Linked DNA regions of Neodiprion lecontei. The protein of the gene in region 1 binds, or shares a complex with, the protein of each later gene. Links are inferred from orthologs where the notes say so. Each region holds a gene or a part of one and is shown in the gene's direction. Other genes may lie near its edges.

Region 1 (10,177 bases):
GTTACAGCCAAAAAACAAGGACCTGTGTTTTCGACATTTTTCAGCAGGCGCTTTTTCGCTCGCCATTTCTCTCCTGTTGGTCCAACGCTCTTTTCGCTGCGATTTCTGAGTTCCTGAAGGTCCGATTGGTCAGATAAGGGTCATATAAATCGAATCTGAGACCGAAAGTTTTTTGCCCAAAAAAAAAGTAAGGCTAACCCCTTTGTGTTTTTGGCGAAAATTTTCGCGATTTTGAAGAGTGCTGGAATCAATTAATTGTAGCGCTGACCGGACGCAATTTTGCGAGAGAAATCGATTGGACGCAGTCCCAATACGCTGCGATCAACGCATCAAAAGTTACAGCCAAAAAACAAGGACCTGTGTTTTCGACATTTTTCAGCAGGCGCTTTTTCGCTCGCCATTTCTCTCCTGTTGGTCCAACGCTCTTTTCGCTGCGATTTCTGAGTTCCTGAAGGTCCGATTGGTCAGATAAGGGTCATATAAATCGAATCTGAGACCGAAAGTTTTTTGCCCAAAAAAAAAGTAAGGCTAACCCCTTTGTGTTTTTGGCGAAAATTTTCGCGATATTGAAGAGTGCTGGAATCAATTAATTGTAGCACTGACCGGACGCAATTTTGCGAGAGAAATCGATTGGACGCAGTCCCAATACGCTGCGATCAACGCATCAAAAGTTACAGCCAAAAAACCGGAACCTGAATTTTCGACATTTTCCAGCAGGTGCTTTTTCGCTTGCCATTTCTCTCCTGTTGGTCCTACGCTCTCTTCGCTGCGATTTCTGAGTTCCTGAGGGTCCGATTGGTCAGATAAGGGTCATTTGAATCGAATCCGAGACCGAAAGTTTTTTGCCCAAAAAAAAAGTAAGGCTAACCCCTTTGTGTTTTTGGCGAAAATTTTCGCGATTTTGAAGAGTGCTGGAATCAATTAATTGTAGCACTGATCGGACGTAAGTTTGCGGGAAAAATCGATTGGACGCAGTCCCAATACGCTGCGATCGACGCATCAAAAGTTACAGCCAAAAAACCGGAACCTGAATTTTCGACATTTTCCAGCAGGTGCTTTTTCGCTTGCCATTTCTCTCCTGTTGGTCCTACGCTCTCTTCGCTGCGATTTCTGAGTTCCTGAGGGTCCGATTGGTCAGATAAGGGTCATTTAAATCGAATCCGAGACCGAAAGTTTTTTGCCCAAAAAAAAAGTAAGGCTAACCCCTTTGTGTTTTTGGCGAAAATTTTCGCGATTTTGAAGAGTGCTGGAATCAATTAATTGTAGCACTGATCGGACGTAATTTTGCGGGAGAAATCGATTGGACGCAGTCCCAATACGCTGCGATCGACGCATCAAAAGTTACAGCCAAAAAACGAGGACCTGTGTTTTCGACGTTTTTCAGCAGGCGCTTTTTCGCTCGCCATTTATCTCCTGTTGGTCCTACGCTCTTTTCGCTGCGATTTCTGAGTTCCTGAGGGTCCAATTGGTCGGATAAGGGTCATTTAAATCGAATCTGAGACCAAAAGTTTTTTGCCCAAAAAAAAAGTAAGGCTAACCCCTTTGTGTTTTTGGCGAAAATTTTCGCGATTTTGAAGAGTGCTGGAATCAATTAATTGTAGCACTGACCGGACGCAATTTTGCGAGAGAAATCGATTGGACGCAGTCCCAATACGCTGCGATCAACGCATCAAAAGTTACAGCCAAAAAACCGGAACCTGAATTTTCGACATTTTCCAGCAGGTGCTTTTTCGCTTGCCATTTCTCTCCTGTTGGTCCTACGCTCTCTTCGCTGCGATTTCTGAGTTCCTGAGGGTCCGATTGGTCAGATAAGGGTCATTTAAATCGAATCCGAGACCGAAAGTTTTTTGCCCAAAAAAAAAGTAAGGCTAACCCCTTTGTGTTTTTGGCGAAAATTTTCGCGATTTTGAAGAGTGCTGGAATCAATTAATTGTAGCACTGATCGGACGTAATTTTGCGGGAGAAATCGATTGGACGCAGTCCCAATACGCTGCGATCGACGCATCAAAAGTTACAGCCAAAAAACCGGAACCTGAATTTTCGACATTATCCAGCAGGTGCTTTTTCGCTCGACATTTCTCTCCTGTTGGTCCTACGCTCTCTTCGCTGCGATTTCTGAGTTCCTGAGGGTCCAATTGGTCGGATAAGTGTCATTTAAATTGAATCTGAGACCAAAAGTTTTTTGCCCAAAAAAAAAGTAAGGCTAACCCCTTTGTGTTTTGGCGGAAATTTTCGCGATTTTGAAGAGTGCTGGAATCAAACAATTGTAGCACTGATCGGACGTAATTTTGCGAGAGAAATCGACTGGACGCAGTCCCAATACGCTGCGATCAACGCATCAAAAGTTACAGCCAAAAAACAAGGACCTGTGTTTTCGACATTTTTCAGCAGGCGCTTTTTCGCTCGCCATTTCTCTCCTGTTGGTCCAACGCTCTTTTCGCTGCGATTCCTGAGTTCCTGAAGGTCCGATTGGTCAGATAAGGGTCATATAAATCGAATCTGAGACCGAAAGTTTTTTGCCCAAAAAAAAAGTAAGGCTAACCCCTTTGTGTTTTTGGCGAAAATTTTCGCGATTTTGAAGAGTGCTGGAATCAATTAATTGTAGCACTGACCGGACGCAATTTTGCGAGAGAAATCGATTGGACGCAGTCCCAATACGCTGCGATCAACGCATCAAAAGTTACAGCCAAAAAACAAGGACCTGTGTTTTCGACATTTTTCAGCAGGCGCTTTTTCGCTCGCCATTTCTCTCCTGTTGGTCCAACGCTCTTTTCGCTGCGATTTCTGAGTTCCTGAAGGTCCGATTGGTCAGATAAGGGTCATATAAATCGAATCTGAGACCGAAAGTTTTTTGCCCAAAAAAAAAGTAAGGCTAACCCCTTTGTGTTTTTGGCGAAAATTTTCGCGATTTTGAAGAGTGCTGGAATCAATTAATTGTAGCACTGACCGGACGCAATTTTGCGAGAGAAATCGATTGGACGCAGTCCCAATACGCTGCGATCAACGCATCAAAAGTTACAGCCAAAAAACCGGAACCTGAATTTTCGACATTTTCCAGCAGGTGCTTTGTCGCTTGCCATTTCTCTTCTGTTTGTCCTACGCTCTCTTCGCTGCGATTTCTGAGTTCCTGAGGGTCCGATTGGTCAGATAAGGGTCATTTAAATCGAATCCGAGACCGAAAGTTTTTTGCCCAAAAAAAAAGTAAGGCTAACCTCTTTGTGTTTTTGGCGAAAATTTTTGCGATTTTGAAAGTGCTGGAACTAATTCTTTGGCGCACTCTATCGACGTGATTTTGCGAGAGAAATCGATTGGGCGCAGTTCCAATACACTGCGATCAACGCATCAAAAGTTACAGCCAAAAAACGAGGACCTGTGTTTTCGACGTTTTTCAGCAGGCGCTTTTTCGCTCGCCATTTATCTCCTGTTGGTCCTACGCTCTTTTCGCTGCGATTTCTGAGTTCCTGAGGGTCCAATTGGTCGGATAAGGGTCATTTAAATCGAATCTGAGACCAAAAGTTTTTTGCCCAAAAAAAAAGTAAGGCTAACCCCTTTGTGTTTTTGGCGAAAATTTTCGCGATTTTGAAGAGTGCTGGAATCAATTAATTGTAGCACTGACCGGACGCAATTTTGCGAGAGAAATCGATTGGACGCAGTCCCAATACGCTGCGATCAACGCATCAAAAGTTACAGCCAAAAAACCGGAACCTGAATTTTCGACATTTTCCAGCAGGTGCTTTTTCGCTCGACATTTCTCTCCTGTTGGTCCTACGCTCTCTTCGCTGCGATTTCTGAGTTCCTGAGGGTCCGATTGGTCAGATAAGGGTCATTTAAATCGAATCTGAGACCGAAAGTTTTTTGCCCAAAAAAAAAGTAAGGCTAACCCCTTTGTGTTTTTGGCGAAAATTTTCGCGATTTTGAAAAGTGCTGGAATCAATTAATTGTAGCACTGATCGGACGTAATTTTGCGAGAGAAATCGATTGGACGCAGTCCCAATACGCTGCGATCAACGCATCAAAAGTTACAGCCAAAAAACCCGAACCTGAATTTTCGACATTTTCCAGCAGGTGCTTTTTCGCTTGCCATTTCTCTTCTGTTTGTCCTACGCTCTCTTCGCTGCGATTTCTGAGTTCCTGAGGGTCCGATTGGTCAGATAAGGGTCATTTAAATCGAATCCGAGACCGAAAGTTTTTTGCCCAAAAAAAAAGTAAGGCTAACCCCTTTGTGTTTTTGGCGAAAATTTTTGCGATTTTGAAAGTGCTGGAACTAATTCTTTGGCGCACTCTATCGACGTGATTTTGCGAGAGAAATCGATTGGGCGCAGTTCCAATACACTGCGATCAACGCATCAAAAGTTACAGCCAAAAAACGAGGACCTGTGTTTTCGACGTTTTTCAGCAGGCGCTTTTTCGCTCGCCATTTATCTCCTGTTGGTCCTACGCTCTTTTCGCTGCGATTTCTGAGTTCCTGAGGGTCCAATTGGTCGGATAAGGGTCATTTAAATCGAATCTGAGACCAAAAGTTTTCTGCTCAAAAAAAAGCAAGGCTCACCCCTTTCCATCTTTGGCGAAAATTTTTGCGATTTTGAAAAGTGCTGGAACCAATTCTTTGGCGCACTGTATCGACGTGATTTTGCGAGAGAAACCGATTGGGCGCAGTTCCAATACACTGCGATCAACGCATCAAAAGCTACAGCCAAAAATCGAGAACCCGTGTTTTCGACGTTTTTCAGCAGGTGCATTTTCCCTCGCCTTTTCTTCCACATTTCACCGACTCAATCCCAAGCTTCCATATAGACACTACTTTGGCTGCTAGGAATGTCGGTATGAGCCCGTTAGATAGAGTCGATAGAGCAGAACCCTCCTACGCTCTCATGCCCACTGGGCCCACTAGCCCGCCAAAAGCTGATCACAAAAATTTACCCAGGGTCATTTAATTTACCCGTCTTAATATTTTTCAGTCAAGAGTAGGGACTTCTCCACAATTTCAAATACCATAACATCTGATTTGACTTTAACGTTACAATTGGTATTTCCGGTCAGGCTGTCAGACAAGAGGGGACATTTGACAAATTAATAAATATATAATTTCAGTGTTTTCAGTGAACGACCAATATACAATATATCAATTTAAGTATGCATCAAGATCAAAAGTAAAAAAATAAACAATCAAAGAGTTCGTACAACAGCGGGTCGTCGTGAAGAAGGAAGAACTATGAGTGCGTTCACGTGAAAGAAAAATAACCACACTGGTTAATAACCAGTTGTTTTATGCCAGTCACTGTAAATCTATTCGTAGTTTTGTTTCGATTATAGCAGTTTATTGCTTATAATTTCACACACTACTTACGAACCGCGATTTTGTTGGAGCCTCAGAATGGAACGTAACTTAGAGAAAACTATGGATAACGTGTAAGTTATCGAAATAAGACAAAATTCATAGATTTCACGTTACGACGCGCCTATTTCAAACAATTTAAAATACGCTAATTTTCTCATGAATTTTTTTTCCACGCAATTGATTGACTGCTTTGGAAATTCATAACAATGCCCACGTAATTTTATTGTTGCTTAGAAAGTATGAACCAATTTTCTTGAAGGCTTCATACTCAGACTTGATAAATAATGTTAAATAGTAGCCGCATTCATAACCTTCACTAACATCAATTCTGACACAACTCATTTTTCTCCTTTGATGAAGAACTGAAAAGGGTAAAATATACCAGAATTGACGTAGGTACAAATTCTGAATGTTATTTAATAATGACATATTTACAGGACGAATGTCGAAGGAGTCATAGGATGCATTTTGGCCGATCGTCAAGGCCTCTGCTTAGGAGGTAACCTATAACTAATTAATAATCAATGTTTACTATTTTTGATTCTATGTTTGCATGAATTTCCAAATGTCATACTTGTCAAAGCTCAAAAGATATGTATTTAATTTTCAGCTAAGGGGAGTGCATCTGGGCAAAGCGCTGGGTTGATAGCAGCCATTGCTGATGAGGTAGCAAAATTAGAGCCTGAATCAAACGCACCCATTATTGCTTTAGAAAGTGACAATCGGTATGTATGTGCACATTTCAACTTGCTTATACTAAGGAAATATGTAATTAAATCTGAAGTAATATGTGTTCTCATTTGTTTACTTCGGTTCAATGCCCATCATTTTATTGGAGCTCATTCTTTATTCACAATGATTATTTTATGCAAATTTGAGAATAACTCCAAGTCAGAATTGCTGTGCAACTTGAATTCTTCAATAACGATTTCAGGCAATGCATAATCCAGCGTCAGGGGCCTATAGTTGGTGCTATCTACAAAGCTATATCACCCTGAAATCTGAAATCGACGTTGAGACTTAACAATGGATTTGTACATGAATTAAAATTGATTCTTTATGTTTAACAATATCTACTTGAAATACGGCTCAATAATGAGTGTTCGTTCTACGTTTGCTGTAATACTATATTTTGTTCAGATTAAAGATTATATTCTTTGTTTATAATAGACAAAATCTTATCTTCTAAAATTCCATCAATCATCACTTGCACAGTTCCATGACTATATACACTCGTAAAATCATGTCCAAAATGAGAGTAATGAAATACATAATCCAATTTAGTTGGGTGCATTTCAAGTCAAGATTTGATCATTCCTAACATTACTTCTTCTCAATTGTACAAGGTGATACTAGTTTAGTTATTCTTTTGAATTTAAGTCTGCCCTTGGAATTTTTTTATTTCTAACATTAGACTTGATTCTCTGAAAATGGAACTATTTTCTTCAAGCTTAACTCGAGTTTTGTTTTTCACCAGAAAACCTGATTAAGCCAGGTGCGTATCAAATTTGCTTTGTCACTTGTTTCTTTGCTTTAGGCTCTCACACTAAAACTCTGCAAGTATACGCGTTTTCACACTGCCACGAGAGAATAACCTTCTATTAAAATTGTTTTGTTGTCTGAATTACAATTATTAATAAATAATAAGGAATTCTTAAGAGTATAATTGCACACTTTTAAGCGTCCGATTTTTGTGAAATTAAGTTTGAGATAAAAGTGAGAAAAAAAATTCAAATGGCTTTGAATGTAAAATATTGTGTCCGGAAATAATGTCACATTAATGAACCAAGTCATGAGGACAGTTGTCATTTTTACTATTAACATATTGTCTTGTGTAACTATATTATAAATAATCTTTATACAGTCATATTACAAACAATAAATAAGGACTCATTGGTCAATCATCTTTTTTATGTTTGTTTCGCCTATCGCGCCATTTGTTTACACCGAGTTGAACCAGGTCTTGATGTTCATAAACCCAGGAAGCCATCACCAGTCCAAACATTACGATACCGATGAACAGATGGATTAATTTTTCGCTCGGAAAAAAGTATGCCTAAAAAGAATGGAAAATATAAATTTAGTTTTGCCGTGTTTATTTCTCTACCATTTCGCAGCAGTAGAAACTTTTGATGATTTCAAGATTTTATCAAGTATTAATACTGTTATTCTTACCTGTGACACTTTTGTAATAACAGCTGCTAGTATTAAAGATGCAAGGAATATTGGTTTAGGTACGAGTCCTAATAATGGTCTATATTTGGTATTTTCGTGTCTTCTTTTTATAAATTTGGTTGAATGCAAAATTCTCAAAGCCATGTTAACGCAGTTTCCAAAAATGAAACCAACGGGCCCAAACCAAGATGCAAAAAAATATGACACTACTAGGAATGCTACAGACTCATATATCATAATATAATTATTCCGGTCAATGGTTTTACTGTCTGCTGTCGCATTTGTATAACATTCTGTAACTCCATTTATTCCTAACAGTAATACTGCAAGACAATGCGATCTCAGTAATAAAACTGGTAAATAGGCTGTCAACTTTGGCCCTCCATATAACCAGAGTAAAAGTGAGGAATAAGATTGGCCAAAAACTAGAACAATCAATCCAATTGATGTTACAACTGAGCATAGCTGTGTTAAAACATTAACACTCTCTTGCACCTTCACCTGCAATTCAAAGATAAGGATTATCAGAAATTCTGACTTGGTACTGAGCAAACAAAGAAGTGAGTAACTAATTAGTTTTACTTGCCACGTTTTGATCAGGTATCGATTTATCCCTTTTGACCATCTGTGTGAAATAGAAGTAACCGCTATCCTCTATTGGACGGAATATAAATCTTGCTGCTAAGGAACCCAGATTGTTAACAATTTCATACGTGCCCTTTGGTAAAAGAAAATTATTTTATTCATCAAGTACAATTTATTGATGAATTGTTAAACTACGAATAGTGATTCATTTTATATTTTCAATTAAATGAATCAATGTTGCGTAATTAATGGACAAACCCTTCGAGGTAATGAATTTCTGGTCCAATAAACATCTGTCAACAATAGATTTTTTTTCTTCAAATACCTGTTCAGCAAATGTCAAAACGGGCATTATGGTCATGATCAATCTTTCCCCTTCAGTTAAAATTTGTTTCAATACTCCTTGTCGAAAAAAACTCCACGTAAGGATGGATAGTTTTTTGTCCAACAACGACCCCTAAAAAGTTATAAATTACATAAGACCAGTTACTTAAATAATTGAGTTTTCCTCGTAATTATATTGATGACAATCTTACCGAATTAACCAATTGACCTGGTAAAAAGTCTTTTATTGATGTAAACGGGAATTCCATGCTCACAGACTCATCAACATCATCTCTTAAAGATGGTCTTTCTTGAACCTTGAATTCTTCTATCTTGGTAATGTAAAAATGGAAATAAGCATAGTGGCTGGTAGTGTAAAAAATGGCTGCAACAAGCTGTGCCACTCCAAAGGCGAATAATGCATTCTCTGGTTGGTAAAGTATCAGTATGACAAAGGTAAACGTCCGAATGATTATCATAATTGTATCTAAGACTACCTGTAATCACATAAATTAAATAAGTATATTCTGACCAAAAAATCTCTTCAACAATTTATGTAAATGATTCTTGTTTACAGGCAAAGCCCACCCTAATAAATGAATAATAATGAAAAGTTCAGGTGCAGGGCTTTCAAATTGTGCAAGTACATAAAAAATATATAAGAAAAGCTTAGAGTCCTTAGTCGAAAAACTTACTTTAAGCCTCACAAAGAGAAAAGCACTGGCAACTAATTGAACAATCAACGAGGATAGTTCAATAATGCAGGAAACAGCGACTGCGCAAACTGCGAATGTATAGTAAGGCGGTAATACTTCTGACGGCAATAATATGAACAACCATGTATATCCAAAGATCAGGGACATGAGCGCACATATTGGAACCCTGGAAATAAATTGTTGAGAATTATTCTCACATTGAATAGCCATTAGTTCTCATGTATAAAGAAAGCTGTTATTCACACTATTGGAGTAAGAGGTGAAATTAAAGCAACTATTGTGTTTTCAATATGATTGCGTTATTAAAATCTGAAATTATTAATTGACGATTAGGGAACTAACGTCACCCATAGCAAATTAACCACTTGTGCCCAGTTGTGTTCAGCCGTGTTCGTCAGACACGCTTTCATAAACGGTTCACGAGAGAGGAAAAGGATCATAGATTCCAATAAGAGCAGCCTCACATTCATTACTCCAAGCACTGCTTGGCCTACATGCCGTACTACAAACGCATTTAGAACAAATGTTACGCAGCGGAATAGTATCTGAAAAAATGTAATTTAAATTAAAGATCTCACCATTTTTGTCCACTGTTAATGTTTACAAAAAAGCATCTGAATATAAAAAATATAAGTGTGTGAACTCCAATGCAATCTGTAGTAAGTGCACCTCGACGGGAGGGCTTATTCACTCAGACTTATAGTGTGATCTCGTCGCCTGTAATAATTTCACGGGATTTTCAATTGATTTTCCGTGATTTCATATCGATTTTACATGAATTCATGACATTTCATGTTGATTTCACGTCAAGTAACCACGTTGCATGACTGAAGTGACAGCAGATACGCATTCAGAAATGACAGTGTAAGTAAATCTGATTAACGAAATGACATACGTACCTGGAATATTATATTGAACGATGCATTTTCTAAACTGCTTTTCAAAATGTTTGGTGCCATTTTACAAGGTCGTATTATATTTTTACTGCCAGTTGTTGATCATACCATGTAACCCTGAATTTTGTTTATAGGTTATGCAA
Region 2 (10,720 bases), on another chromosome or scaffold:
GCGAACAGAGACTCACGATCTTCCTTCTCATTTCCTCATTTTTGAAGATAATTAGGTTCTTAGGGGGTCATTTTGAAGATAAAGAATAGATCTGTGTCGCCTATTTTGCCGAATTTTCGATTTCGCTTTCAGATTTGCGAAAAACGTACTTGAAAGTATGTTATCTTTGAAGTGAGACACAACGGACAGTGAATTTTTTTTCGAAATTCGGCGAAACAGGTGACACAGATCTATTCTTTATCTTCAATGGGAGCTTTCCAGCAAGGAGACACAGTATGACACTGTGTTACCCGGTCGATCACTGTGCCTTGGTACTTGTTGGAACGCTTTGAGGTTCTTAATTCAGTCACTAAAGTCCGCTCATGCATTGTACGAAAAATCTAGGAACACTGAGCGCTCCAGGAAAAAAAAAACATTTGTGAAACGCGTGTAGATTATCATTGCATTTAATAAATAAATATAAACAATACCATGCGTCGAAAATAAAATCTCTAACTAAAAAACTGGCTGCAATGAATCCGAAACAGTGTCCAGCCATGCTCCGCAGCTGTGTCCGACTGTGTCGTTCTGCGTCGTTGCTGGAAAGCTCCCAAACTGACTCCCTAAGAACCTAATTATCTTCAAAAATGAGGAAATGAGAACGAAAATCACGAAGCATAAAACAGCAAATTTTTCGTGCCCCCGACAACTCTCAATCCGCGAACCCCCCCTCAAATCATCGAAGCCCAGAAGGCCGCGCGTAAGAAACAGTAAATTCACGACCGATAGACGACAAAAAACTGTAATATAAATATACGTACATATGTACATAAATACAATAGCTTTGTATACCTATAGCTTACGTGTAATACTTCTCTGATTTATGTTCAGTTAGTTATATGTATTACTATGCCAAAAATTTGCTAGTCATATCGTTATAATTATATGTCTGATTATTCATTCCAGGAATACTTTCTGCAGTCTGACCGAACTGCGTGTATAGGGTGATTCAGAAAAAAAAATGAATTTTTTTTTCCTTTCGAAACAGGTTCAAAAGTTTCATTCAGGTATACAAAGACACTAGTTGAAATTTAAGATTTTAATATTAATACATATTAAGGGGTGGCGCATAGCACTTTTCGATTTTCCATAAGAATAACATAGGATAAATGTTGTTTGCTTCTTCTAGGTTTTATAACTAGCTAACGAAGCGTCGTAAAAAAAATCTAAAGACGGATTTTTGTAGGAAATTGAATGCTCTACAAAAAAGGAAGCGTACATTTTACTTTAAATAGATGATAACTAATAATTAATTTTTGCAACAATGACGTACTACTTTCCATAGTTTGCGCTTTCTATAGAATTTATTTAGCCATATAATGTATACAATGCTCGATGCCTTGTTATGATATCAATTTTCTCGATCAAGATTACTGTCATGTTTCACTTATACTGTTTCAATTTAATTTCTATGAGATCCTTTTCATACAGATTTCGTGATTATGTTTATTAAGTTTAAACGAGTTTGATTTCACTTTTATCATTTTATATTATTTTTTATCATTTTGTATTTGTTTGGTGCAAACCCGATCATGGTTGGGAGGTAGGGACAGGTTAGGTGGGTCTCTGTTTGATAGCAATCTATACGTGGTGCGACCTAGGAGATTGATGATATTTTCGTTGTTATATCATGAATTTGCTAACAGCCATTCGTCGCAATTTTCAATTTGAAACGACCTGTGACGACGTATGGCCGCTATTCATAAATAGTTACGTATTATTTTCGAAACTGTATTAGGAACAGCTCTCAGCCGATCAAGCTATGCTTTGAGCTGACTCAAGACAGTCCTGCAAATCGAACCTGACTATGAATACCGGCTATTAGACTATTACCAATCACGTGATCGCATTGCGTAGAAATACGGACGCCGGTGAATATAATTTTCGTTGAAATATTAAGAATGTATATCTATATCAACATACGTATGGGGAATTCTACGTCACGTCAATCAAAAAATGACCTCGTATTTTTTCAATCTATTCATACTCTTTTTCACATGAAATAAAGGTAAAAAGAATCGATACGCATTTTGGTGTTCGTCCGAATTATGTTTGTTTTGGAAAGTTACCAGACAATCATTCAATTTTGATGCAAAAGGAGCGCGCATATATCTGGTTCTATTCAACGTGGAGACATCATTTACAGTGCATTCGGAAGGTGAACGAATAAGCTTTCATAAAAAAAATGTAATGTTGAACATTATTGAATATCCCAATTTTCATAAACAATTCAAATGTTTGACGATTTTTACCTCATTAATGAAAAGTTTTTGAATTATAAGAAAAATAGTTTCGGGTTCCTTATTAAATTCTGTATTACTAGTAAATTTTTCAAGTGGAATCTGAAAGGAGTCTATTTTTTTTTCTATTATTCATCAGGTGCTGCGTCGTGCCGAGCGCGGCACACTGGGCTGTTTAAAAGTATTTGAAACCGAATGCCCGTGAGGGGTGGTGGAGGCTAGCCGCGTCACCCGCCCACACCCGCCCCACTCCAGCGACAGCTCGGGTGCTCCGTCTCACTTGTTTCTTTACTCTCTCTCTCTCGCACGGTTAACGCGGGAAGCGGAGTAGCCCGTGCTTTCTAGCTAGGCAACGCCCTTAAGAAGAAAAGTATGGTTTGATAAGTACGTCAATATTATACAGAAGATAAAATACATTTTTTAGCTGCTTTTCGTCACATTTTTAAAAAGTCGTATTACTGAAAGACAATTTTAACAATTTATCAAAATTTAAAATAAATGCAAAAGTCTTCTATTTTTCGTTCCAGTTAAATTGCAACGAACCTCGTGATAGATTCATTTTCATTATTCATGCTTATTGTATTTATTCCCAAGAACTTGCGTAATTTTTCTTAATTAAAACCCAATGACTGATTCCAAATTTTGGGAAAAATTTATAAAATAGGTTCATCCTTCTACATATCATCAACGTGCTTCTCGCAAAAAGAAAAGTGTTTCAGAATTTTTCGGATATTTTCAAAACTTGAGATATCGAATTTTTTCAAGTCATAATTTTAAAAGTGCTCAACAAAGCAAACAAAAAGTCTGCATAAGCACTTTCTTGAAATGATTGGAACTAAAAATAAAGTATTTCAACATTTTTTCAAAATATTTGCCGCTCAAAGTTGACTACGTAAAAAACTTTGAAAAAATAAATTGAGCGTCTTAGAAATGCTAATATCGCCTGTAAAAGATTTGATATATTCATGTAAATATAAACAATACACGAACATGTATTTGATTGATATTTATTTTTCCGTTATGTAATTTCGGCGTATATATTTCTTGTACGGGATTTTCTCAACTTTTCAATCTCACGATGACGACTGTATGTTATCAACGTTTTGCACGTGATAGTTGTTTGTTTTCAAGAACTTCTCTTACGTGCGTTGTTAGTTGCTTGGTTGATAATACGTGAAACTACTATACCTCCAAACCCGGTCAAACTCAGCAAACTGTTACGAAAAATAACTCGTTATCAGTCTTTACATATCCTCAGTCAACGTTCCCTATGAAACATCTAAAAATGATCAATAAACATCAGTACATACATATAAATGAGAAGCAGCTTTTGGTTATATGCGCTAGGGCTAGATTAACGTCTGGGACTACTGCCTAACTACAATTGTTTCAATTTTCACGAATCAACGATCCACTATCAGATGTCGAAACTTCACTATCCAACACCACCAAACGATCAACAAACGATTGCCAGCATGGGTAATTGCATTTCAATGCAATTTACAGTTAACGAGGAGTTGTCGTAAGTTAGACGTTCTGGGATTGAACAAACTCCCGGAATTGGTGCCTAACTAGAGTCGTCTTATTTATTTTATTTTTTTTGACTGGCTTAGGGGAGGGCTATGTTTTTCAATTTTTTCAGGTAATTGGAGGACTATTGAATGTTGGAGAAACGCTAATAAACACCAACATACGACGAACAAACGATTCTGCACAAGCAAAATTCAAATAAATCCCAAAATACAACTGTGAGGGGTTAATGTCACTGAACTCCCTAGCCGGTGTTGTTCTAATAATAACAACGTAATTATTAACTATGGGTATGTTTCGATATACACTGCGAGCACTGTAAGGTGTGTCGTCAATTTAGTATACTGCGAAGCCGTTCCTGTATAGTTAGCTATACTGGTTACTGCTTAAAACGTGCTTAAAACGGAACGCAGTACAGTATACTGTGATCAACATTTTTTGGCGTTACTTTCATTTCATACATAATATTTGTTTCACATTGTAATAAACACAATTTATTCAAATTTTCCATTTTTGTTTTTAACGGCCGATATTTTTAAATGACAATATTCAATAATAATAATTATCAATAGTGGAAGCTGTTAAATTTCTGAACGCTGTTGATCACGTGATCAAAGCACTGAGAGCACCTTACCTCGAAAGCACCAGTGTTCACAGTAGAAAAATGGCAACGATTTATGACGTCATATATTTCCCTAGGATTTCCTAGAATTTCTCCCCAGTAAGAGCACTGAACAGTGCTCGCAGTGTATATCGGAACATACCACTGATATGAACATACCCTATCAAGGCCGTGTTCGTAAATTGACTGACGGTACTGAAAATTCCCTAGGACAGAGTCGGAGCTATTTACGAACTTGGAAGCGCAAAAGAGATGAAAGATTGCTGACAGTACTGTCAGTCAATTTTCGAACACGGCCCAAACCTCGGGTACTCACTACAGAGAGAAACCTATCAAACACAAACGATCACAGATTACTTTTCGAGGTACTGGTCTAGACTATTTTGTATTACCAGGTTTTAGTGGGGGCGAAACTGGTCATCGGTACGACGACGTCGGCAATCTGAACGATTATAAAAACATTGAAGTTACTGACAAATGCGTAATTGGTTACGTGTTGTTGCACAACAATGATAGAATATTTGTTCATATAATTATACGAAGTCATAAAAAATATACTTGACACAGTTTAGACTTATTATTTACATAAAGTGGTTGAAACAACAGTCACTATGGGATGTTGCCCAAGCCTTTGCAAAGAAGACAATGGGCCGCAGGTATGTCAGATGTAAAGTACTTGGACTAATCCTTGCCTTTTATTTTGAGTTTATTTCTTCTCCTTTGCTCATCATTCTCACGTCTACTACTTTAGAATTGATACGTGAGTTTCAGTAAAGACACTTATCAAACTAGTCTCGATCATCATCAATCGTAAAGGTACAAATTTTGTGTAGGCATTTCGTCGCCACGATTGTATTTTTATTTATACGCTGTATTTTTCCATTGACATAAACGACTTTGACAGCTCTGAAATGTTAATTTGATGCCACTTCTCGTTCGGCGAAAAAATAACCATTTAACATTCCATTTTTGCATATCTACAATGACGCACATCATCTAGGAGATGAAAAATATAAAAATTATAGTAACAAGTAAAGCCACGGACACACGAACGATTTCCAAGTGCGATGTCATCATTATTATTAACTACAATATCTGGCGAGTTTACCATTATTTCTGCCCCCCTGTGGTATTTTTATTTACCTTATTTCGCGATAACCTACCCAGATAACTTTGATCTACTGATACTGCTGTAATAATTATCATTTATTGAAACTCATTAATTGACTTGAAATGCTTTCACCAACATTTCTCTCACAACAGTAGATTAAGACTGAGTAGACTAATTACTTCTAAGTTCCTAACCTGTATCTTAATTCGACTGACTTGTATTTTCAGGGTGACGCAGCTAACGAGAGAACACGTTTGCTGGTAAATCCGGTCAGCAATACACCAAATATCCCAACAGCTCACAGGTGATTGATCAGACTTTAAAGCATGCGTAAAAAGTATTTGTGTTCCATTCTTTTTATTATAGTGACTGTCACTTATATAATATCAAATGCTTTTTTGCTTCTTATTTTATTACTTTCCAGTGACGATTATGTTAATCCATATGCGAACCCTGTCCCAAAGAAGACTGATGAACAAAGCGCACTGAACCGAATCTTGCAGGAAACTGCCGCGTGAGTATTTTTTATTTATTTTTTTTTTGAATTTGTATCCTATTTATTTTGCTGTTTACGAAACTTGAGCTATACCTTCTTAGTTCTCTGCATCGAATGCATGCTGCTGCTGCACGTTGGCTTAGTACCAAGTTTATATTTAAATTGTCTCTAGGACAAGCTTACTATACCTTTGAGTAATGCTTTAGAATTTCACGATTTCTGTTTTTCTTTGTGCATTTCAAGTTCTGTTTTATACTAACATAGCATGGTAGCCTAGCTTCTACAGATTGAGCCTCGGAATTGGCTTCTCCATCAACTTTTCAACTCGAGGTTTAATAATTTTCTAAATTATACCTATTTTGTAAATACTTTGCTGACCGTTAATTTAATTCTCTGTAACTTGTTTGAAGCAGTAAAAATAACAGACAAATGTTATAAGAATCATTTGACAAAGTTACATTCAATAAAAAATTCGGCTCGATTTTGCCACCTCTAATTTTCATCTCCTTTATCAGCAATGTGATCGATGTCGGTGCTCTCGACTCGCACAATTTGGAACAGCACGAATACATGGATAGGTCAAAAGCATATGCCAAAAGAATAGAAGTTATCGGTGTTCAAATACCTGACCATCCGCCATGTCTATTAAAAGATATACCAGCGCCCGAAAGAGTATTGGCTGGGGAAGGGCTGCCCCAACAGGATCGAGAAATGGTAAATAATAACTTCCACTAATATGAAATAGAAATGATGAAGTAGTGAAATTTCTATGATTTCATTGCTTATCTAAATATTTTCACAGGTTACAGATATGATGAACAGTGCGGTAACCGCGTTGAGCGAGATACAGGTGGAACATAAAGAAGATTTAGTCGTACCCTTCCTGTCGTGACTGCATTTCAATCAGATGGAAGCTTGAGCCTAAAATTTTAATATGTCTAATGACATTTATAACAGCTGTAAGAAGAAAATCAAATTTTCTACTCGTTAAGACATTTAATTCTTGTTACAGATCAAAGGTATAGATACTCTACTTGTTCGCCACAAAATCTTTATTGCAATTCAATTTTGAGCTTTATACTTAGCAGCAATGGAAACATATATTAATTTAGGTCATGCTATTCTATGCTTGTCAGAAACTCTCGATACTAGATATATCCCCCAATTTTTATTATTAACTGGTTCTAACTTTTTTTTTTTCATTTTTTTTAGTGTATCACCGTTGCATTGCTAAATATTGTTTATCGTGTAATCACTCGCGAATCGATTCTATGAAAACCGTAGTTTTAAATGATTGTAAATAACGGTTTTCTCTCGTAACGTTTTAAAGTATTACTCGGACGTGTTAATAAACCAGCGTTATGAAATTCTTTTGAACTATGTTTAAAAATCCCACTTTTTGTGGATGACAAGGTTGCATATTATGCTTATCATATTGTACAAATCGGCTGACGGGAACAGTGAGACGCTAGCGCAGGCTTGATTGGACAATGTATTTTGTTGAATGACAAATACAAAATGTTGAATACCCATGGCGTTAAAAAAAGGCTTTTCATGTGAATATGATGTAATAAAAAATATGTTTCATTTGTAATACAAATGGTATCTTTGTTCATTAACAATAGTTCGAGGTTTTAGGGTAGCGTCAAACTACCTATAGATATAAAGAATTCGCTTGCAGTTGCGTTAACATAAATAAATAAATAAATAAATAAATAAATATGAGAAGTTATCAGAAGAGGATAACAAGACGACTACTCACTAGGGTGGTTGAAAAAAATAAAATTTTATTCGCTTTTACCCCCTTCTAATGTTGGTGTTTGATAGAAAAAAAGATCTCGAAAGATTAGCTCTTGAGCTCAGTCTAACAGGTCACTACTTTAATTTTAATTTCCCTTTCATTCAACATGAGAAAATTTCACTTTTCGTTAAAAATTAAAATATTCGTAAACTATTCAATATTTTTGAAATCCATGCATAGATAGAATCTTGAAGGTGATTCTCTTTGCGGTAAAAATTGGTAGTTTTCAGATGACTGTAATGTGAATTCTAATGATGATGACTATGATATGTTATAGCGGTTTGAAAAGCTCGTAAAATCAGCTGCAACGATCTATACATGAATTTAAAAAATATCGAATAGTTTACGAGTATTATAACTTTTAACGAAGAGTGTAATTTTCCCATGTTAAGTAAATGGGAAATAAAAATTAATATAGCGACCTGTTGAGATTTGACTTCGGTATCTCATCTTTTGGGAGGGTTTTTTTATATCATAAACTAACATTTGAGCAGGTACGAGCGGGAAAAAATAACTTTCTTTTAACCACCCAACTACTGACATTCGATTTTTTGTCCAAACACGTTTATATATTACTATCATATATATACAACTAATCAGGAATATACATATACAATATTAGTAGCTGATTTATTTATCAATACCACTTATTTAAATTGAACAGCGAATAATTACTTGACATGGTATTAATATGTAATATAAGGGCAATCAATTTTTTTTTTTTTTTTTTGAAATTAGCTTCATCGATGTACTCAATGAGACGTTTATCATACAATCTTGTGTGTAATTGACAATTGAATTAAGTATAGTTTAAAGCTAGTCTAAGTTGGTGACGAACTGTTATTCACTGCTTTAACAACTGACGCAACTGTTGTTACAACTTCGATAATTTGGCTGGCACTAGGAGTAGATCGTGGATTGTGGAAAAAGTACATCTTGAAACCAGCAGCAAGTAAGAAATGCATTCCTAGGATTGCTATGGCATAAATAGCTTTGTGCTTACCTGAAAACGAACAAAATAAACTTTAAAATTCCACATCTACGATTGACTACAGCACAGAACAGTAATTCATTTCTCAAATATTGTTCTTAATGTAATCCATAGCTTATCTTTTACCAGCTATAACTCGTGACAAAGAGCGCAACAACACTCCACCAGACATGAATGCAGCAATTGCGACAAGTGTCCATTGTAGCCAACCAATCTGTATAGTCCATAGAAAGGCGACGGGTATGTAAATGCTCAGGGAGTATCCATAGAGGCACAGGAGTTCCAGGATCCCAGGAGCAGTATTCGACTACAGCAAAGGAAAATGTTAGTTTTCAAGAAGTGAGTTGATGTTCAATTGTTTTGCGAATGATTTCACTTTTCTGAAATTCACCTCGATTAATTCGTTGTCATCTTCTCGCTTGCTGGTAGACCATTTCAGAGCGCCCCAAAGTGCAAGGGGTAACAGCCAGGCGTACATAAAAATGGCGGTAGCGGCATAAGAAACTATATGGAAATCGTACCGCCAGTGAAATCCCTGCGAATTTGCTGTCTGAAGGTAATTAGCCATATTCCCACTAATCGCTATGGCAAATATCAATGTGACACAGACCCAGAACGGGCCGTAAAGATCAGGCTTTGGCCGGATGTGGGATTCGAGATAATTCTCGCCCCCTCGCGGTATTATGGACCTGATTATCCTTTGCACAACGTCGTCAGTGTCGACATTGAAGAATTTCTGGTAGTATTCGATGCTCCAGAAATTGTGCTGCAGTTCTTCTGCGGAATTGGAAATTGTGTTTATTCTCTCGAGACAAGAAAAATTTTAAAGTAGGTTAACCTAGTTTTGCAGCAAAGAAAATAAAAGAAAAACTGTGAATACAGACGGTCATTTTTGTTCGGCATTCCTTGTAGGTCCTCGATCATTCCGATTCCCGTACTGTCATTCTGGATTCCGACGAAGCCCTGATTGTCGGGTGTATCAACATCCAGCTGAGCCTGTCCACCACCAGCGGAACGATTTATTGGTGAGTAATCTTGAAAAGATATAAATTGGGAATCCGACGATTTGTCGCCGTCCCCGTTCATCATCTTTGAATCGTTTACTGCACTTTCGTTCTACTTTCAAGTTCGATTTTGACAACCCGTACACGTTGCACCTTATTTTACTACTATTTCTCCAATCCCCGTGAACAAATCTCTGTTTACCTTAGAGCATATACTACTGGAGGTAGCCACCCGTGCCGTCAGCCTCGCAAAAACTGCAGCCAAAATGATAAGAGAGAGAAGATATACTCGTTACAGCCTGTCCCTCTCTCTCTGCATATGATTGGCTGAGAAGAAGCGTGTCGGCCAACCAGATGTAGGGCAAGAGAGACAGGTTGTAATGAGTATATCTACTCCTCTCTCACTCCGCCACACTTTCTGTGCACGCGTGGTAGAATTCTCTTTGGCTACCACCAGTGTTATGTGCTCCAAGATGTTTACTGACATGCGGAAAAATTGCCAAATATCGCCAACCACAGGTATTATTTTGAACAAGGTGTAACGTCCGACCGGAACGTCCGTATGTTTTATCGATTATTATTACTGCATGTTACTTTTATCAACTAACCAAACTCGAAGTACGAGAATCTTGTAACCATAAGAAATTAAAACAACTGTCTAACTATTTGGAATATCCCTAGATGGAAATAACTATGAAATTCACTAGCCGAGGCTTAAAAACCATGTTACGAGATCTTCGTACTACAGAGAACTATAATACTATTATGCGTTATTATATATCACTATCATATTAACACTATAATTAACTAACACAATTATACCCAACTATTATATAGCACTCAACAATGCCATTTAGGCATTCGGAGCTGAGAGCTATACTATAAG
Region 3 (10,395 bases), on another chromosome or scaffold:
AATATAATCCACTTTTTGCAGTCATGAACCTCTGTAGCGCGTGGTAAGTTTTACCACTATTCGTTGGTCCAGCATGAAATATAATTTTTCTTGTCTTAGCTCTCGCTAACGGGTACCTGCAAAATGATAGTTATTTAATTTGCGCATATTTCTGGTTATAAATATGAAGCTCTATTCAAAATACAGAAGCAAATATTTCCACTGTTTTATTCATACCAGTTAGCAGGTGTGCGTAGATCGCTTATTTTCTTGAGATCATCCATACATTCAATATGGGGAAAAGTCTGTTTCGCATGACGCATAAAGTACGGAAATATGTCATCGACATGCCCGGCTCCTTGCATTATGTCGCTTATTACAACATGCAAGTCTGCCGGCAAGGTTTCAGCATCTAAGCAGTAGCGTCGAAAACTGATGAAGGTTTGATGTTGTAAGTAACCTGCAAGACGTTCATATTTGTGTGTGCAGTCTCCAAAATAATGCAGAAAAACTAAGAGCAATGAACCAAAAGTAGGGAGGAAACAACCAACAGAAGCATTTACATTGGCTTTTGTAGGACAATGTTTATTGAATGTAATTTACAGCGATAAAACGGGTGGAAACAAGCAGGGAAATCTACTCAACTTGAGAGGATCAATCTCAGAACTTCCAGCTACTCCCACTATCGATGAAGATAAAAATTTCAGACTACATGATTTATAATTTTGAAAATAACTTTAAAGGCTCAACTGATTTTAGTAAAAATCTAATCAGCTTTATATTAATAAAGCTAAACCCATGAAGCAAGTTTCATCTGCATCTAGACGTTTTTGAGATACCACAAGAATTAAGTTCAAATTCTAGTCAGTTCTGAGTCAAGCAAAACTGAATCAATTAAGGCCAAAATAATAAAATCTAATCTTTCAGTAATTGCCACCAAAAAACGATCATACACTCAAATCGAGATGTCCACCTGAAAGTGATCAGAGAAGATTCTCCAGGCCTTAAATAGTAGAAATATAGTGAAAACACAACTTTTCATTTTCAGGGTAATTATAAAAACTTTCCTTTTTCTATAAAAATACCAAAGCGGGAAGTTGAGAAAACTGAAATAACGAGTTGAAGCACCTTAAGTACTCACTGTCCAATCCGTGTTCCATGGCGAGCACCTTGATCTCTTTTCTTTGATAGAATTGATTGAGCACTTTCAGGAGGTCAGCTTTGTTGAGAGCCCCACTAAGTTCAACTCCCACGTTAATATCATCTGGGTTCGACTTGACGGGAACTGGTTTGAACAAAGATGTGATTGTAGTCGAGTCATCTTTTTTTCCCCGCAAAGGTTGTGCTAAATAAGCTCCAATTCTAAGATATCTGAAAAATAAAAAATAACGCGTAATGTATTAGAAATCAATTCATAAAATTATTACATTCAATAATTTTTATAAAACTTTACCTGTTGTTGATTAAACTCACCTCACACTTACACCTGTTACAATAAAATATTTGTAGGATATAGGAATACAAAATTGACCATAGGTTATAATAAGTGAATAAATATGAATAATGTGTGTCGATTACCTTATTACAATATAAAAGTATATAATAGAGATATTATACTCTACCTGTCTTGTAAAGTGGTGCACAGGATCCCACTTCTTCGAAGTAGGGATTCCGATATACGTCGGGTTGTCGGTATCATTTTTATATATTTATTAATTTCACAACATCCAAACCAGAGTGAAATCAGATTATCTTTAAATATCAAATAACGTTCATCGTGCAATAGGTTATGTTTCGGAAAGACCTGCGGATCAAAAAATTACAATCGAGCGTGCCGACTGCCGGTGCGCGCACTGAGTGAGATTCCACTGTTTTCAACCAATAGTTGAAACGAGATACTAGAAGAACCGTAATCAGTGCGCATCCGCAAGTGTAGCCAATGAAAAGCGCCATTACTCCGTGGCGCAACAGTAAGCATTTACAAAAGTTGAGAATGCCGTACAATTAGTTAATTTATTCTTAAATTATGACTCTTCCCTGGTTTATCTGAAACAAGTGATTGAATGAATTGTCCAATGCATTTCAATGCTTAATCGGTATTTGGTAACTCAATCTACTAACTGTGCGTCTAGAAACATTTTCGCGATAGTCTCGAGCCTAATTTTGGATTTATCCAAAGGTGTGCGTTGGGACTTTAGACAGTTTGAAATGAGTTGTGCGTTCCAAAGCTTTCTAAAACCCTTCTCAATGCGAGTTGCAAAACCTGCTGCCAACCAATGCTTGTCAACACTGAAAATTCCCAAGAACATCTTCCACCTTTTTTATTCATTGGGTTCATTGCGTTGCCTAATTTTCCGCTATTCACGAGAGTCCGATTTTGTATTCTTTCGTGTCAATTAAAATTTTTGCATTACTGATACACGTATAATTTCAATGGCAAAATTTATGCAAATCAGTTGGTTGCAAAAAGAGCAATTTATTACTAGTTATGTTATGATTGGAAAAGTTTAGTTTTCAGAAAACCAAATCTATGCAACATCTTTACCAACTTTTCAGTCAATGCCATTGGATCAAAGAACCATTCATTTACAGATAATTCACTCTATGTAAATGACGAGAAAACCAATCGTCATACTTACGAACAGCATAGATAAAATATACAGGAGCTTCAGGTTTATTGTTACATAGTTCATATAAGTATAGTTACTATAAATATTAAATACATTTTTACCACATATAATCTCCAGTCTCTATTTCGTTCATTTTTCTAGTCGCTGTCAGAATCTGCATTTCTCTTAGTAGAAACAATTGATGGAATACAGTTTCTGTCACTTATCATTCCATGCTCGATTAAAAAATGTTCAACATCAGAGGAATAAAAGTCAACTCCAAGGTGATCTGTGACACGAACAAAATTACCTATGACTTGTTTGTTTTTATAAACAAGCAGTGCTGGAACTCCCTCCTTTTTGAAGTGCCTACTTAAGCCTGCGGCGGAGCCTAAAAATAATTCAGCATTAGCAACTGCAATGTTCTTTTATAGAAGTTTGGAATTCTTTCACCATCTCACCTTGAATTTTGCAAAATTTAACGCTGGGATATTCGATGGCCAGTGAAAGTAAACAGCCATTCATAGTCTCACATCCTTCTATGTCAGGTTCATAAATATGAATAACGATGGTAACAGATTCATGTTCGTTGTCGATGGCCTCCAGAAATTGATCAGCAGTTACCAAGTTGAATAACCGGCCAAATCTTAATTTTTCAGCCCGAGTGAGCATTTCCATCATTTTTTGCTTCTGATAATTGAGTAAAAATTCGTCGTTCATCAAATCTGCCAACTCTGGATCGGTTTCCTCAAGATTATCTTTTTCCTCGTCAAGAGCACTCCTGCAAGTCAAACTCAACTTCTTCAGCAGCTCGATCCTCTCCTTCTCCTGTTCGACTTTCTTCTCTGCCTCTATTTGTTTAAACCGCTGCCAGTCGCCTAAGACCCCTTTCGGCCCTGTGTTGCTTGAAGTTCCGTCCCACTTTGCACACTCAGGCAGTTGCTCAGACCTTGACGCTGTCGCGTCGCACGGTTTCTGCGACTTTTGTTCATCTTCAGAATCCGCTGAGTCTTGCCCCTCGTCTTCACTTGAACTACTGCAGTAATATTGTAATTTTTCACCCAAAATTTTATCCTCAAGTGTTGCCATTCCGTTCTCTTTTGGGCTAGAGCTTTCTGTTGTACCTCTATTTAATACACGAAGAGCGGAATTATTAATATTATATTCAACGGAATAATAATTTTATCACCCAATCTCAGTCCATGAACATCAATGCTCTGCTCTTCATTCTCGCTGTTTTATCGAAAACCAATTATTTATTATAATTGTTGACTGCGTGAACGACGCTTTACACCAAGTTGACGCCATAGAGTAATTCTCTGAGGTTGATACGCCACACACTTTAGCTTACTGCGGGTGCGTATCAAAATCAGCTCCCGGCCCCGGTAGCAATCTTTTTATCTCTTTTGCACTTCTTGAGTATGACTGGCTCTGTCTCTGTTTTAGGCATGTTAAGCAATGCGCGCGCTTACAGTTCGCTTGTATAAGTTTGGTAACAAGGAGTGAATAACATGTCATATCACTTATAATACAGTATTTTTACGTACACCAAAGATAATTCTCTTTGACGTACACTACCTTTTAAATTCACAGCTAAATGCGGGTAGGACAAAAATAACTCGATCGGTAGGGTAGGATTGTAACCCTGTCAAACCATAAATAGAAATATATCGGCGCCCCGTGGCTGACGCGGCTGTGTGAAGTGTCAACTCTTAGTCACAGAACGGAGTATTCTTTGTTCAAATTCAATAAAAATTTGGAATGCAATAAAAATACTGAAAACTGAATACAGGTTCTGCATTCGAAAATGAACGTGGTGAGTTTGTTTTTTGAAGTTTATGCTGTAATCATATGTGACCGTTAGCTAGCGTTTCGAAGCCAAGTGAAAGTAACTATAATCGAGGTTATGTTTTTCAAAATAGAACTCACTCTTTATTGGAATTGCAATAGAAGTCAGCTCAAAAATTCGAAGCAATATAGACATGTATATTCGCGATCTGTATTTTTCTAGCATACACAAATCAATTTGTGATTCAGTTTCAGGAATTGAAGAAATTTTTATATCAGCTATTGAACAGCGTTGATGGCTTACACAGTATTTTGATCACGGATCGTGATGGTGTTCCTGTCATATCAGTGTCAGATGAAAAAGCCCCAGAATTAGCAATGCGGGCAAGCTTCCTTTCTACATTCGGAATGGCCACTGATCAAGGGAGCAAATTAGATCTAGGAAAGAATAAAACCATTATTAGCATATACAGCAGTTATCAAGTAAGTTATGAACCATTGATAATAAGAGCACCGTAATTCTGGAAGGCTGTTTGGAGTTCAGTTATTCCACTTTTACATGCAACCTTTTCTGAAGAGTACATTGTTTAAACATATAATGATATGAAACTAGTTCTATATGGCATATTATTTTTCAAATTTGACAAGATTTTAAGGTCGAATTTTCGGTACGCTTCATTTTTTGAAATCTCATATTACCTATTACAAGGCTTGTTGATGATTTAGTTTGATCTTTTCATCTCAATTTGTTCTTAAATTATTAATTTTTTTAATGTAACGTCAAATTTTCCTAATTAAAATTCATTTTTTCATTTGGTGAGAAATTTATATTACGATGTTTTAGTCGTTTGAATGAAAGTTATAAAAACAATTTCTTCCACATTCATAAGAAAAAAATCTTTTCCGTATGAACACGTATTCCTATAGTAGCGTCCGATTGATTACAAACTTGATGAAATCAATCTTTCTTTCACCTGACAAGAAATTGATTTTTAAAAAAGTCTCTTCTGAATAGATAGTAGAAATACAACAATTCATCGACCCATAATCATAATTGGCTTTATGCGAAAAAGTAGAACGGAACTATAAGGAAAATGGTACAACGAAATTATGAGATATAATTATGAAATATTTTATCAATGAATCCATCACTCAAGAGGAAAAAAGATATGTTTTACCTTTTTTAAACATCTCATTTAGTTTTTAAATTTCATTCATTTGCAAAATTTAGATGGAAAATGTTTCAAAAATTCTATATTAGAAAACAAATTGAGAATGCAGCTTCAAAAAAATCATCAGCACTTCTGTCAAGAGGTAAAACTGAATTTATAAAAAATTTTGAAACTAAAAAATTATCAAAACCTTATCAGATTTGAAAAATAATGCTCCATACACATTAAAGGGAACTAGCATTTATTGTATTTCAACTATATTATATAATTATAAAATTAATTAATTATTGTGCAAATTTCTTGTAAATTTTTACCTCTAGTTACAATTATTTACCATGTTGTCAGAAACAGTTATAAGTGTGTAAATACATGGATTTATGTGTGATCAATGATATGTTCAACAGGTTGTTCAAATGAATAAGCTACCATTGGTCGTAAGCTTTATTGCAAACAACATTTGTGATACCGGGCACATCTTGTCACTAGAGAGTAAAATTGATCCAATTTTACAAAATCTTAAAAACGTTGTTGCCGAAGCCTGATGGACACCTGTGATGCACTAATAAACTAATTGAAGAAATCGTGGAATTAAAACGTCACGACGACTGTGTAATTGAATGTGTAAAACACATTGAACCAAATTTTAGCAAAACAAAGGTTAAATATTACGATTTAAATCGTTGTAAATTAATTCTATAAATCTTATATAATTATGTAATATACATACAAAACAAAAAATGATATATACTGTATATGTATTATTGGAGAATTGAATTGATTATTTCGTGAACACGTGTCATACGCACACTTTATATTTTCGTATTCCTAAATAACTTCGCATTCATAAAATAAAAATAGACATTGATCACGGAGTCACATCTGTATGAATTAACGTGAGATATAACACACCTACAAACAAGTTACTGGAATGTCAATGTGCTTATATCCTGGGTAAAAAAATTCCCAGACTTGACACCTTCATATGAAATATACTATAAAACATAATAATTGCTAGGTATATATTCTTGAATATGACGTAAAGTGGAAATACGAATCTTGAAGACATGTATAAAAAATTAAAGCCCCGTAAAATTTCAGTTGCTTTGAAAATATTTGATACATATATCAGGCAACAGGTTACACAGTTGGTGCAAACTTTATTGAAAGCCTGTTTGCCACTATAATTCATAGACGAGTGGTTTTCCTTCCAAGCCGTTGATCACGTTCTGCGCCGCTGTTGTAGCCATGTCTGAGCGGGTTTTCACCGTTGCACTGCCCAAATGCGGGATTATAACTAAAAAGTTCAATAAAACGTAAGTGGGCTTCGGGTGATTAATTTGTTTCTGCATTTGTTTTTCTTCATCTTGTATTCCCAAAGACATTGATAAAAAAATAACAGGCAAATCATAATTAGCAAAGGTTTGAATTGTCCTGATAATGTTTGAGGAAATTCAAGAAATTCTAGAGTTTTAAAAAAAAATTTCTAAATTCTTTACGCGGAATTTCATTTTCTACCAAAACTCAAATATAAAACTCCGATTTTTTTACTTTCTCGTTGTGCATGATCAACTCGACTGATTTTTAAGAGGTGAAAATCGGACCAATTTCTATGGATAACTCATGTTTTCTCAGAACTCCACTATGTGTCACAATCCTGAAAAAAATCGTATCTCTGGCGTATCGCGTTATGCAAAAAACAGACGAATTTTTGAGAGAAATTAAAAATGAAACAGTTGAAAAGGATTTTAAAATAGATTGAACTGTCTAAATTTTTCAAAAATATTAAATCATCAATGTTTTTCTATACGATATTTGCAAAAAATTATTTCTTTTCCTAGAAATTACTAGGTCCGGTTTAGGATTTTTAGAAACAAGTAAGGATCTGTTAGAAATTAACCATTCTGGGTAAATTCGTACAAATATGTGAAACCTTCTGGACATATTTTATTGCCAGGAGAGGTCCCGACGTAAAAAATCGCTCAAATACTGACCTGCGTTCGGCAGGCTTAAAAGTGGATGGTCACTGGGGAGTGGCTCTGGATTCATAACATCCAATCCAGCAGCAAAAATTGTATGATTTCGAAGTGCTTTGACGAGGGCATCTGTATTGACGACAGGTCCGCGTCCTACGTTCACCAGTATCGCCGTATTTTTCATCTGGGCAAAAGTGTTGTCATTGAACATATTCGTAGTTTCATTGTTCAACGGCGTGGCAACTATCACGAAATCACTTTCCTTGAGGAGATCAGCAAACGATACAAACGTAGCTCCAAGATCGTCACCTGCAATTATATGAAACGTTGCATGTGTATTTCGATCCGAACGTTTATTCATATCATAGGTAATATTCATTAATAATTTATTTACCGGCTTGTTTTCTCGAGTGGCCCGAATAAATGAATCGGCCCACTTCGAATGGCTTCAGTCGCTTCACAATTGCTTGTCCAATGTTACCCAAGCCTACTATACCTACAGTTGAACCGCGTAAATCACGGCCCAACATCCATTGCGGCCGTGACTCCCACTTGTTTCTGAAAAAATTAACCAATATTAAAATATTTCGTTCTAGTACCTTGAAAATGAAAGATAAACAATAGTAATAATATAATTATGATACACCCAATGAATTAGAATTTTCTTGCAGCTTATACTAACAATGCATCATCTGCAATTCCTACCACCCTTTCGCATTGAATTAGCATAATTATAAGAATCAGCCCCTCTTAAAGTTAAATTAACTTCACAAGATCTCAGATATTTTAGGGTGGTCTTAAGAAAGGTCATTTTTGAATTTCGATTGTTCGACTGTTCCATCCCCTAAATCGGATGCAAATAATTCAAAAATAATTCTCTCATTTTTTCAGCTTCTTATCTCAACTCCAACCCGTGCCGCCGGAAGGTTGATTTCTTCGATTAACCCTTTTCAAGGGAACAGTAAATCTGCCAAATGGATTTCGATGAAATTTGATGTAGGGGGGTTCCTCGGGTCGCTGATTACGAATTTTAACTCGAAATTTCAAATGTCGAAATAGGCAAATCAACATGGCGGACAAACATCCCAAAAGAAAAATGATATTGCCATATTGGATCCGCCATTTTAAATTTGGAAATTTCGAGTTTAGATTCGTAATCAACGACCCAAGAGGAACGTGTTATATCAAATTTTATCGAAATCTGTTTGGCAGATTTATTGTTCCCTTGAAAAGGATTAAATCGGAAAATCAACCGTTTTTGCGGCACGGATTAGAGTTCAGATGAAAATCTGTAAATGTTAGGGAATTATTTGGTCCGATTTGGGGGACGAGGCATTACAAATTCAAAATGTCCTTTTTAAGGACCACCCTAAGGTGCATACCTATGTAAGTAATTGTATTTGCAGCTATGCATATTTTAAAAATTCTTTGTTATGAAATACATAAGCTAAAATTGTAATATAACAAAACGTTGAATTATTTACTCGATGATTTTGATACGGCCCTCGTAAGCTCGCCTGGCCGCGCTCAACGTCAACATTACAGCGACCTCAGCAACAGCAGCAGTTAGAACATGGGGAGTGTTACCTACTTTTAAACCCCGCCGTTTTATTTCAGGCACGTCCAAATGATCGTATCCAGCAGATGCTGTTGACACCACTTTCAACCTTGGTCCTGAAGAAAATGAAAACCTGAGTTTCAATATCAATCAATCAAAGAGGTAAGATAATTTCATGCCCGTGGAAGAAATCCATTTTGTTGATTGGTAAATATAGTCATGTCAGTTCGCATAATCTATAGTCGCTTTAATTAAGAAATTATGAAAAAGCATATTACAGACTGGTTGCATAATCCATATAATATCTAATCGGAGCAATAGATTTTTATTGCTTCAACGAAATTTGATTTCACGATAAGATCAGATAACGTATATAACGGAGGCCGAGTCGGCCGGAAAAGTTTGTATGAAGCCGAAAATACGTAATATATGTTACCTATAAGACAAAATTATATCGTTTTGAAGCAACATGTTTTTTCGCTTCCACCTGAATAACTTATTATATTTAGTAACAAACAAAAATCCTCAAGGAAGACTAACTCTTAAATCCAATTTTAAAATATGCTCTCGGAATCGATATTTAAAATTGTTACCAGTCAGCCGTATTTATTGATACGAAATTTTCGTTATAACGTCATTACTTTGGCCACTAAAGATCTTTAAAGATAAATGTTTTACATCAAATTCATTATCAAGAATTATAACTTGTGAACCACTGAAACACGAACTTTGCTCCAAGTATATTTTTATACAGAATTTAGTTCCCTATAAATATTCTAAATAAAATTGATTTTCGAGGCCTATAATTTGTAAACTGTTTGAGCTACGAATTTCGTTCAACGGACACGTCTGTAGTGAATTGAAGTCACTGCAAAATGCTTTCAGGATCAAGTCTGGGAAGAGTTCAAATACCGAGAGCGATATTTTATAACTGGATTCAAGACACATTGTCTCCTCCGAATTTTTCAATACGTAAAACTTTTTTAGGTGCAAGCGAAAAAAATTATTGCTCTCATTCAACATTTACCTGCAACATCCAGTAATTCTTTGTTCACGACATGATGGCTGGCGAGATAAATAGCGTCATGGCCCGGAAGTGCTTGAAGTACTTGTTCGCGTGTACTAACTGGGCTTGGTAGAATTGTCAAATCAAATCTGAAAAAAATCGAACAGATTTGCAGATATTGCTATTTGAAGATATGTTTCAGCATTTAATCGATTTATTATTATAATTATTATTATTACTTTGATATATTTTTATAAAACGGATCGTATCATCGCAAGAACACAGCTGCTGTTTGTGTGGTTTTAACGAA

Evidence for each region.
Region 2: ragulator complex protein LAMTOR5 homolog (region 1) and ragulator complex protein LAMTOR1 share a complex: the UniProt entries of both Homo sapiens proteins name them as parts of the ragulator complex. The link is inferred for Neodiprion lecontei from reciprocal best matches to the Homo sapiens genes LAMTOR5 and LAMTOR1.
Region 3: ragulator complex protein LAMTOR5 homolog (region 1) and ragulator complex protein LAMTOR3-A share a complex: the UniProt entries of both Homo sapiens proteins name them as parts of the ragulator complex. The link is inferred for Neodiprion lecontei from reciprocal best matches to the Homo sapiens genes LAMTOR5 and LAMTOR3.

What each region holds. Positions count from the first base shown.
Region 1 is NC_060260.1:24,483,668-24,493,844, reverse strand, and holds ragulator complex protein LAMTOR5 homolog, read left to right. Parts: upstream 1-5,029; 5' UTR 5,030-5,374; coding exon 5,375-5,409; intron 5,410-5,775; coding exon 5,776-5,837; intron 5,838-5,948; coding exon 5,949-6,063; intron 6,064-6,272; coding exon 6,273-6,336; 3' UTR 6,337-7,235; downstream 7,236-10,177. Other genes in the region: protein RFT1 homolog, read right to left, coding at 7,236-7,394, 7,514-8,014, 8,100-8,231, 8,424-8,555, 8,635-8,919, 9,118-9,304, 9,481-9,683, 10,038-10,097. UniProt on the Homo sapiens protein: As part of the Ragulator complex it is involved in amino acid sensing and activation of mTORC1, a signaling complex promoting cell growth in response to growth factors, energy levels, and amino acids.
Region 2 is NC_060263.1:15,850,706-15,861,425, forward strand, and holds ragulator complex protein LAMTOR1, read left to right. Parts: upstream 1-4,861; 5' UTR 4,862-5,042; coding exon of another isoform or gene 5,043-5,047; coding exon 5,048-5,098; intron 5,099-5,769; coding exon 5,770-5,846; intron 5,847-5,966; coding exon 5,967-6,056; intron 6,057-6,553; coding exon 6,554-6,752; intron 6,753-6,840; coding exon 6,841-6,930; 3' UTR 6,931-7,632; downstream 7,633-10,720. Other genes in the region: protein YIPF1, read right to left, coding at 8,661-8,842, 8,957-9,137, 9,222-9,607, 9,715-9,919. UniProt on the Homo sapiens protein: Key component of the Ragulator complex, a multiprotein complex involved in amino acid sensing and activation of mTORC1, a signaling complex promoting cell growth in response to growth factors, energy levels, and amino acids.
Region 3 is NC_060261.1:12,076,407-12,086,801, reverse strand, and holds ragulator complex protein LAMTOR3-A, read left to right. Parts: upstream 1-4,100; 5' UTR 4,101-4,395; coding exon 4,396-4,404; intron 4,405-4,625; coding exon 4,626-4,859; intron 4,860-5,952; coding exon 5,953-6,090; 3' UTR 6,091-6,493; downstream 6,494-10,395. Other genes in the region: ATP-dependent RNA helicase SUV3 homolog, mitochondrial, read right to left, coding at 1-116, 217-439, 1,121-1,350, 1,433-1,465, 1,602-1,678; phosducin-like protein, read right to left, coding at 2,747-2,979, 3,050-3,677; glyoxylate reductase/hydroxypyruvate reductase, read right to left, coding at 6,727-6,842, 7,540-7,830, 7,916-8,079, 9,006-9,195, 10,107-10,234. UniProt on the Homo sapiens protein: As part of the Ragulator complex it is involved in amino acid sensing and activation of mTORC1, a signaling complex promoting cell growth in response to growth factors, energy levels, and amino acids.